Linked DNA regions of Canis lupus familiaris. The protein of the gene in region 1 interacts with the protein of each later gene in a pairwise test. Links are inferred from orthologs where the notes say so. Each region holds a gene or a part of one and is shown in the gene's direction. Other genes may lie near its edges. The genes, in order: TFAP2A and GSTO2.

Region 1 (4,533 bases):
GGTGAGGGAAGGTGGTTCTCCCTCATCTTGCCTTCCTTCCACCTGTTAAGAAATGCTCGGGTTTGCAACAGCCTTTACCCTTCTGCAAGGACATGCTATGGAGACCTGGGAGGCCTGGAGATTTGCAAAAAAAAAACCCCCCAAAAAAAAACAACAAAAAAAACAAAACCAGGCCTAGATGGAACTAAAAGTCGTTACCAGAGCAGCTCTGAGGCAGACCCACGTTGGTGCGTTTGCAGTATTCAGGAGGGAGAAAGCCACACAAAAACTTTTATACGGAGTACAAATGAGCAGCTCAGCCAGATAAATTAATTACTCTGTATTTCAAAGGATTACACCTCGTCTTTCTTTATAATTTCTTCTTTAAAACAATTCACTAAAAGAAGGAAAAAAATATATATATATATCAATCCCCGCTGGGGCGAGCAGGTCCCTGCGTGGAGCGGAAAAGCCTGGACTGGCCAATCTGGACTAGGAGGTGGCCCCGGGGCCTCCGGTTCCGCCTCAGCCGGGCACTGCGCCGCCAGCGCGCCCGCTTTAGTAACATCACCAAATCATGAAGGAACTCTCCCTGCTTTAATTAAAAAGGGGGATCTTGGGAAAACTGGAGCAGATTAGCGCAGCGAAGAGTTGGTTCCCAGCGATTTATTTTGATGCATGCATGACACGGAGCACACATGTCGGTTACTTCGGCACAACTCCAGGAGCGGCTGTGAGTCTCCACAGGAGTTCTGTATTTTGTCCACATCGCACCTAGGAAACCCTTAGCCCAAACACCACGTTGAATTATCAGTCAGCCCTGGCTTCATACAAACGAGAGGAAAATCACTTAACCCCTGGAGCTGTCAACTAACCTCTTTAGGGTACAATTTTTATTTTACACGCGGCCAATTAAAGGATCGCAAACCCCAGCCGAGCGACTGGAGCCGTTTGGCAAAATCTTCAACCTGGGAGGGGGGGTGGATTGGGGTGGGGGGGGTGGGAAGAGCAAAGCCAATAAAACTCCCAAGGCGCTGGGGCCCGAGGTGGTGGCTGCAGCGAGCGGAGGCGATCTCTTGTTGGGCAAAAATCCTGGAGTGACTTTGCCGGTCTCGGTTTGATGATTATATTTAATTGCGAAAGGGATAATAATTTCTAATAAAATTGGACGGGGCCGAAAGGACAGCGCGGTTAGCGCGGGCAGGGGTGAGGGAGAGGTGCTGAAAGGCGGGCCCCAGGCGCAGCGGCGCGGACCCTGCACAGCGCCGGGCCCTTGCGGATGGCATCTCCCTGGAGGAGGAGACGGAGGGGGAGAGGACTGGGGTGGAATGGCGCGGCGGCGGGGACCGGGGGTGGCCGGGGCCCGGGCGCACGGCAGGTCTCAGGGGAGATTTCGTCGGCTCGCAGGCGGGCGTGCGCTCTAGGAGCAAGTTCGCGGCTCGGAGAGGCCTTTATACCTGGGTCGGAGCGGCCGGCCGCAGACTGCAGGTGCTGGCGAGCAATTGGACTATTGTTGATATGCTAATGAGGCGATTAGGCTGTTGGTAAAGAGCTGGAAAAGGGAAAAGTTTCTACCATTAGAGGGAGATCTCCGAGCGCACACAGGAGCTCTTTCCCTTCTCGCCTCCTCCTCCTCACCCTCCTCCTCCTCGCCCTCCTCCTCCTCCTCCTCCTCTTTGCCCTCCTCCTCCTCCTCCTCGCCCTCCTCCTCCTCCTCCTCCTCCTCGCCCTCCTCCTCCTCCTCCTGCGCTCACCGCCGGCAGCCCGCACTTTGCGCTTACCCAGAGAGTAGCTCCACTTGGGTGCGAGGCGGAGAAGGGGGCAAATCCGTTCACGCCGATCCATGAAAATGCTTTGGAAACTGACGGATAATATCAAGTACGAGGACTGCGAGGTAAGCGCGGCGCTGGCTCTCCCTGCGGCCGCAGGCTCCGAGCTCTGCTTTCCCGCTCCTCCTCCTCCTCCGCTCGCAGCCAGCTGCGAAATGCGGGTGGGACAAACTTTCCCCAGCGCAGCGCCCGCCTCTCCAATTTGCCCGAAGAACGCAGGGGAGAAGCTGGAGAGGAAGGATGTGGACGCTGTCTTCTTTCATTTCTCTCCTTCGAAGCTCGTGTCCCACTACCCCCCCCCTTTTTTTTTCTGGCCAGTTTGGGGGTCTGCCTAAGAGTGAAGCGAAGACACGAGCATGGGGTTTGGAAGCAGTTGCTGGCAATTGGGCACGCGTCTGTGCACCCTGCGTGTCTCTCCAGCGAGATTGGGGGGGGGGGGCGAATCACCAGGAAGAGAAAGCAAAGAGAAGACCCCCTTTTTTTCCTCCGTAACTTCCGATCTTTACTATTCCTTCATTTATTCATTCTTTGCTTCCTATCGTCCCCCTCCCCTCTTCCTAAAAAGGGAGGCTCTTTTCCGTTTGGAGAAGGGCCCCCCCTCGCACACTTCAGTCTGAGCTGGGTCGCACCTCCCAGTGTTCGGGTTCAGTTTGGAGGCACCCCTCTCCCAAATTGCTGCGGGGCTCGCTCTGTGCTACTGAGGAAGTTCTGAGCAGCGTCTCCCTCTGAGGGACACTCCGAGAGCATCCCCTGGAGCGGAGGTGGGAGGGCTGCACCGCGTGGAGCCGCCTGCCCGCCGGGTCCCCGGGCTTCAGCCCCTGCAGGCGCCCGGCGGTCGGCTGCGTGACCGTGGGAATCCTGGCCGGGCGGCACACGACCTCGGGCGCGCGGATGGAGCGCGCCTCGTTGGAGCCCATTTGCAAACCCGGGGTCTCCGGAGCCCGGCTTCTCGGGGGCACGCCGGGGAAGCCCCAGCACCGCCGGCCCGCCCGCGGGAGGCGCTGGGAGCCGGCCTGGCCGCCGCGGCCCCGGGCTCCCTCGCAGCCCCCGCTGAAATGAGCCGCGGAGTCACGAGAGGGGGAGGGGGCCCGCGGCCGAGGGTTACCTACATAGGTGGTAGTCCCGGCTTTCGCTATTTTTTTTTTCTTTTTCCGTTCTTTTCTTTGAATTTGGCCTTTGGAGCTGGCAATGTGTGGAGCAGAGGTCTGCGCGGGCGCAGCAGCGTGGGTCTTGTCTTCACTTGAAATCAGAACCGGGGTTTGTGCGAACGCTGTGTCCCCGGTTCCCTGCCCCCTCTCCTCTCCGCCGACTATTTTAAATCTTTCTCCTTTCCCGGGCTCTTCCTTTCCGCCCTCCCCTCACCCCAAGGGGCACGGGGTGACACCCCGCGGGGACCGACGCTGCCCTGGGGGCTCCTCCCGCGTGCGCGGTGCGGGGCGCAGGGACCCCAGGGCGCACCAGCCGCTTTGTTTTGAGGCCCGTGGCGGGGGCGAGGGGTGGGGGGTGGGGGGTGGGGTGGGAGGGCTCTGCGAACGGGTCCGAGGGAGCTCCTCCGTCTCGGAGGGCGCACTGTCCCCGCCGGCGCTGTGGCCCGAGGCTCGGGCACGTCACCCTCGCGGAGGCTGGAACCCAGCTGCGGGCGCCGAGCCCTGGGCGGGCGGGGTCCCGACCTCCGCGCGGCTCGGGGCGCCTGGGAGACCTAGGTGGGAGGTGAGGAACTCGAGGGGCCCTGTGGGGGCGCGTGTGAATGTGTGTGTAAGCGAGGCGGAGAGAGGGAACAGAGGGAGGGCTGTTTCAACAACTTTGCGGCGGCGAGCGCCGGAGCAGGGATTTCGGGTTTCCGAGCCGGCTCGGGGCTGTCTAATTACGCCGGGGCTCTGCAGGGACACGCAGGAGGCGAGGTGCCGCGTGTCCTGACAACCCAGCAGGCGGACCGGCAGCGGCGGAGCCCAGCGGCGCAGGGAGAGAGCGAGCCGTGTCACGGGGGTGGGGGGGTGGGGGGGCGTCGGGCAGGAGTGGCCCAGCCAGTCGGACGGGTTTGCGCCGGGAGCCGGGAGCCGGGAGCCGGGAGCCCGTGCCAGCGGCGCCCGGGCTGGGCCGCCGAGCGTCTCCGCGCGCCCCGGGCCGCGTCCCGGCTCCCCCTCCCCGAGCCCCTGCCCCCGAGAGCCCAGGGCGGGGCGGCAGCTGCCGCGGAGCGGACGGCCCGGGCGGTCCGGGGCTGGAGGGGGGCGGGGGGCACCGGGTCATGGAGCAGCGGCGCGGCGGCGGGCCGCCGAACCCCGAGCCCCAGGCCCGGCTGCGCAGCGCAGGAGCCCGCGGCCGCAGCGGGCAGGGCAGCACCGCCCGCGCCGAGAGCCCGATGAATGCCCGGACGCGGGCCCCGGCGGCTCCTGCGCGCGACGCGCGGCCCCCACGGCATCCCGAGGTCTGCCCCAGCCTTTTAGGTCTGATTGTCCTCGCTCGCTTCCTCTGCCCCTCCCCCGCGGCCTCCCCCTGCGTGCGCTCCGGCTCGGCCCCCTCCCCCTCCCTCCCTCCCTCCCTCCCTCTTTCCCTCCCTCCCTTCCTCCTCTCGGGCTCTCCCTCCTTCCCTCCCTCCCCTCTCCCCACTCCGGGCTCCTCTCTCTCACCCACACTTTCTTTCTCACACGCGCACGCACACACATTCTCCCTCTCTGCGCTCTCTCCCTCGGTTTCCCTCTCTCCCTCTTTCTCTTTCACTTTTGCA
Region 2 (4,518 bases), on another chromosome or scaffold:
AAACTTAAGCTCTGGATGGCAGCCATGAGAGAAGATCCTGCCGTATCAGCCCTCCTCAATGAGGCCAACACCCTTCGAGGATTCCTCAATCTCTACTTGCAGAACAGCCCCGAGGCCTGTGACTATGGGCTCTGATGGGGGCAAGAGTCAGCAATGAAATGTCTGATATTTTCTTTCACTAAATGTCTGATATTTTCTTTCACTAATATGAGTAAAAATGCGCTTTCATTTTACCTCTCTCTCATCTCACATTTTTACACTCTCACGTCTCATTGGATCACCGTCTCTGATTTGACATCATGGCTTAACTGTGGGGTTTCCTTGAGGCTCTCCTGTAGAAAAGTAAGCACATTTCCTGTCTCACGATGCTCACAAGATTCTAAGGGTTTTATCAGTGTGTGCTGCAAACCTCTAAGTCATCGTCTCTGGTAAGAACTGGACTTCAATCTAGATTTCTTACTGCCCACAGGACATTTCCACTTGGATACCCTGTCGTTTCAAGAGCTGCCCTCTCTCTCAAGTCTTCAATCCTCATTCTTTCCTTTCCATCAACTCCACTACCTTTCTTATTCCCATTGTCACCACTGAAGACTAGACTCATAGCACCTCAAAGTCAGGTAACTAGGAGTCCTATTTGGTCTCCCAGTCCCCAATCTCAATCCCCTTCAGATTTTTCCTGCCAACTCCCGTGTTGGGTAGGATACCCCAGCAGGGGTCCCATAAATGTAATTATATACTGTGAGGACAGCCTCCATCAATTCGGTATAAATCTAAATGAGTAATTCAAAAACATTCACGCCACCTTGCATATACTTCCACAGCCCACTAGGCTTCTATTTCATTTCTAACATCCCATCACCTCCATGAGAAGGCAGGTCGGAGAGCATCATTTCATTGTACAGATGATTTCACCCAGATCCCGAGGTTGAGTCCGCAAGATGCTGGCAGAGAGATCCGGAGAGCACAGCCAGCACACGACTCTTCCCATCAAAATCAGGGAGCTGTCCACCCGCCCCCATCGGTTTCCCCTACTTATTTTTGTTTTTTAAAGATTTATTTATTCATGAGAGACACAGGCAGAGGAGAAGCAGGCTCCATGCAGGAGCCCGAGGCGGGACTCGATCCCGGGTCCCAGGATCACGCCCGGGGCTGCAGGCGGGTGCTGCACCGCTGGGCCCGGCTGCCCGCCCCTGCTTATTCTGAAACGTAAGAGCGCATAACAATCAGCCGAGGCTCGCCGCCGGGTTCCCCACTCGGTGGGTCCAGGGAGCGCCGCCAAGTCCACATTGGAGATGAGCCCCCCGCGCCCCGTGATGCAGGCGATCCGGGGGCCGCGCCCCGAGAGGCAGTGAGAACCGGTTGACTTCACAAAAGGCTTCCCGCAGCCCACCCTCGGCCGCCCCCAGCGCCCAGGCCCCGGGCGGACCCACCTCTGCCGCCGGCCGCCTGCCCCGCCCTCCAGGCCCGGGTCGGATGCAGACCCCCGCGCCGAGGCGCCACCGCCAGCCACTAGCGGGCCTCCACGGCGGCCAGCCACGGACACGGCGAGGCCTCGCGACTCCGGCGTCCAGCAGCCTGTAACGCGGCCGCCCATTGGCTCGGCTGCGTACTGCTCGGCCGCGGAGCTTCCAAAGGCCTTAAGGATTGGCTGGAGCTCCGGGCGCCGCGGCCAGTTGGCGGGTAGGATCGCGGTCTAGGGGGCGGGTTCGCCTGGGGCCCCGCCTCCCTCCGCCCCCGCCCCCGCCCCGCGCTGCCGCCGCCGCTCCCGGTCCGGTGTCCGGTCCCCCAGCCCGGCGCGGAGGTCCCTGGCGGGAGGGGGGGTGGTCTGTCCGGTCTGCGAGGCATTGGAAGGGAGAAGGGGCTTGAGGTCAATTCTGGATTTGGGGGTTTTTCAGGAATTTCGGGTTTGCCTAACCCTTCTAAAAGAAAAATCCGACGACTTAACCTCATCAAAGTTTCATCAAAGATTTTAACATCAAGAAAGGCACAAGGTCTATGACTTAAAGAATAGGTCGTTAAAGCGAATCCCTTTAGCGTAAAAAGGAAGAAAAAAAAAAAAACCTCACTGAATTGTTCTTATTGTTCTGATTTGGCTGGAGACAGGTAAAGGGGACCTCAGATCAGGATTCCCAGTCCTGCACTGGGCACCCCTGGGTTAGCTACATTACAGGACACTGGGAGGTGCGGCATTTGGTCCCCGGGAATGTCTTCACTTTATGAATACTTACGGGACTTCCCTGCTGTGTTCCAATACTAATAAAAATAATAGCTGATGTTAGATGCTTACTAGATATGAAATGCCTCTCAACCAGTATCTGAATTAATCCTCCCCAAGCCCTAGAATATATTGGTACTATTGCCTCCAAATTATGGATGGGATCAAAAGGGCATAGAAAGAAAAATGTGTGTTTCTCAAGGTCACCAACCTAGGTAATGCTGAAAAAGGTGATTCAAATCCAGCCTGAGCTCTTAGAGTCCTTGAGAGAGAAGAACTCACATATGCTTCCACCTGGGTCTGTCTTTAGTCACTAGCATTTAGAGGTTAAGCCAGGAGAGGATAGTATCCACTTTATGACACATCATATGTCTGGGACTTAACAGGAAGTGTTGAGGTTCCTTTTCCAAACTTAGTGTTTTGTTTGATTTTACGGTGTTTAACTTTGGCTGTTTTCGGGATCTTGAAAATCTGCCTTTGCTCCTTCAAATGTTATCATGTTAAAATGTTTTATTTATTTTTTTCTGTGATCCCCCAAGCTGTAAAGAGAAATAGGAATCGGAAAGCAGAATCTAGTACTTAAAAAGTCTCCTTTGACTCAGGTTTACCTAATGGGGAGGTGAAGTTCCGCTTCTGATAACTTTAGTAATTTTATTTGATATGTCCCAGATGTGTGTGTGTGTGTGTGTGTGTGTGTGTGTGTGTGTGTGTGTTTCGTGGAGGAGGGATGTAGGATCTGATAAAGGTGGTCAAAAGGAACACAGTTTCAGTTATAAGATAAGTAAGTCCTGGGGATGTACTGTACAATGAGATGAGTGTACTTAACATTACTGTTTGATATATTTGAAATTTGCTAAGAAAGTAGATCTTAAAAGATCTCATGGGGAGAATTTTTTTATATACCTGTATGAGGAGATGGATGTTAACTAAACTTATTGTGGTAATTATACCAGTTAGGTAAATCAAGTCATTGTGTTGTGTATCTTAAACTCATACAGAGCTGTATGTCAATTATATCTCAATAAAAATGAAACAAAAACGTTCCAAGGGCATTAGAACATAGGATTCCTTATGATCCTAACTTTCTGGAAATAGTCCTGAGTTTAGACCTATTTGAAAATAGAGCTTTTTCCCTTACTTATCTCACTCTTTGAACTTGGTGAACAATTTTTGAACACCCAGTAACAGAATTTTTCATGTAAATTAGGCTTCTGAAATATTAAGAGAATGTCCTCCAGTTCCTGCCACTGCCAGAGACTGATGTGGAAAAAAAAAAAAAAAGATTTTAAGAACTACAAAACGCAAACTCCACTTTCCTTTCCTTAAAACAGAGACTTGTGTAATGAGTAAAGAAACTATTTCTGGGATCCCTGGGTGGCTTGGCGGTTTGGCGCCTGCCTTTGGCCCAGGGTGTGATCCTGGAGTCCCAGGATCAAGTCCCACCTCGGGCTCCCAACATGGAGCCTGCTTCTCCCTCTGCCTGTGTCTCTGCCTCTCTTTCTCTCTCTCTCTCTCTCTAGGTCTATCATGAATAAATAAATAAATCTTAAAAAAAAAAAAAGAAAGAAACTATTTCTGTGGTGGCATTCTTTTCCTAGAAGGCTTGAGTCATTATTACCCATGACTGAAGTTTCCCACATTTTCAAAACAGATCTGATTATATTTCAGGTGGCTAGAAATATTTTAGAGTAGGTTTCATATGGCCATATTACTATTTGTTTTTTGCTTGAGTTAATCAGTATAATAGAGGTCTAGACATGATACAATAACATAAGAAAGAAAGTTTGCGTAGAGGATTTCAAAGAGGTACGTATCAGTTCTTAGAAAGGAAGTGGGGAGGGCAGCCCGGTGGCTCAGCGGTTTGGTGCTGCCTTCAGCCCAGGGCCTGATCCTGGAGACCCAGGATCCAGTCCCACGTCAGGCTCCCTGCATGGAGCCTGCTTCTCCCTCTGCCTGTGTCTCTGCCTCTCTCTGTCTGTGTCTCTCATGAATAAATAAATAAAATCTTAAAAAAAAAAAAAAAGGAAGTGGGGATAAGTTTAAAGGTCATAATTAAAATTTTTCCAGGGAAACCATAGCATTCAGTGGTAAGATTAAAAACCACACTACTGAAACGTAGCCTGCATCATTCAACCCATTCAACTGGCATTAAATTGGTAACTGGTGAAAGAAGTATTCTGAGTTGAATTTCCATCCTAATGCACTTGACAAAACAGAATTGCAGTGCATTTCATCTTTCTAGGTACAAAATTGGAGTGCACTATGCTATTAAACATGTGTTTTTATTCACTATTATTAGTTAT

The links.
Region 2: the proteins of TFAP2A (region 1) and GSTO2 interact in binary tests that used the Homo sapiens proteins (3 or more experiments, as listed by UniProt). The two-hybrid records come from large-scale screens. The link is inferred for Canis lupus familiaris from reciprocal best matches to the Homo sapiens genes TFAP2A and GSTO2.

Annotation. Positions count from the first base shown.
Region 1 is NC_049256.1:11,474,085-11,478,617, reverse strand, and holds the start of TFAP2A (transcription factor AP-2-alpha), read left to right. Parts: upstream 1-1,609; 5' UTR 1,610-1,822; coding exon 1,823-1,873; exon of another isoform or gene 1,874-2,035; intron 2,036-2,917; exon of another isoform or gene 2,918-3,274; intron 3,275-4,426; exon of another isoform or gene 4,427-4,533.
Region 2 is NC_049249.1:16,772,185-16,776,702, forward strand, and holds the start of GSTO2 (glutathione S-transferase omega-2), read left to right. Parts: upstream 1-1,550; 5' UTR 1,551-1,680; intron 1,681-4,518. Other genes in the region: GSTO1 (glutathione S-transferase omega-1), read left to right, coding at 1-135. UniProt on the Homo sapiens protein: Exhibits glutathione-dependent thiol transferase activity. Has high dehydroascorbate reductase activity and may contribute to the recycling of ascorbic acid. Participates in the biotransformation of inorganic arsenic and reduces monomethylarsonic acid (MMA).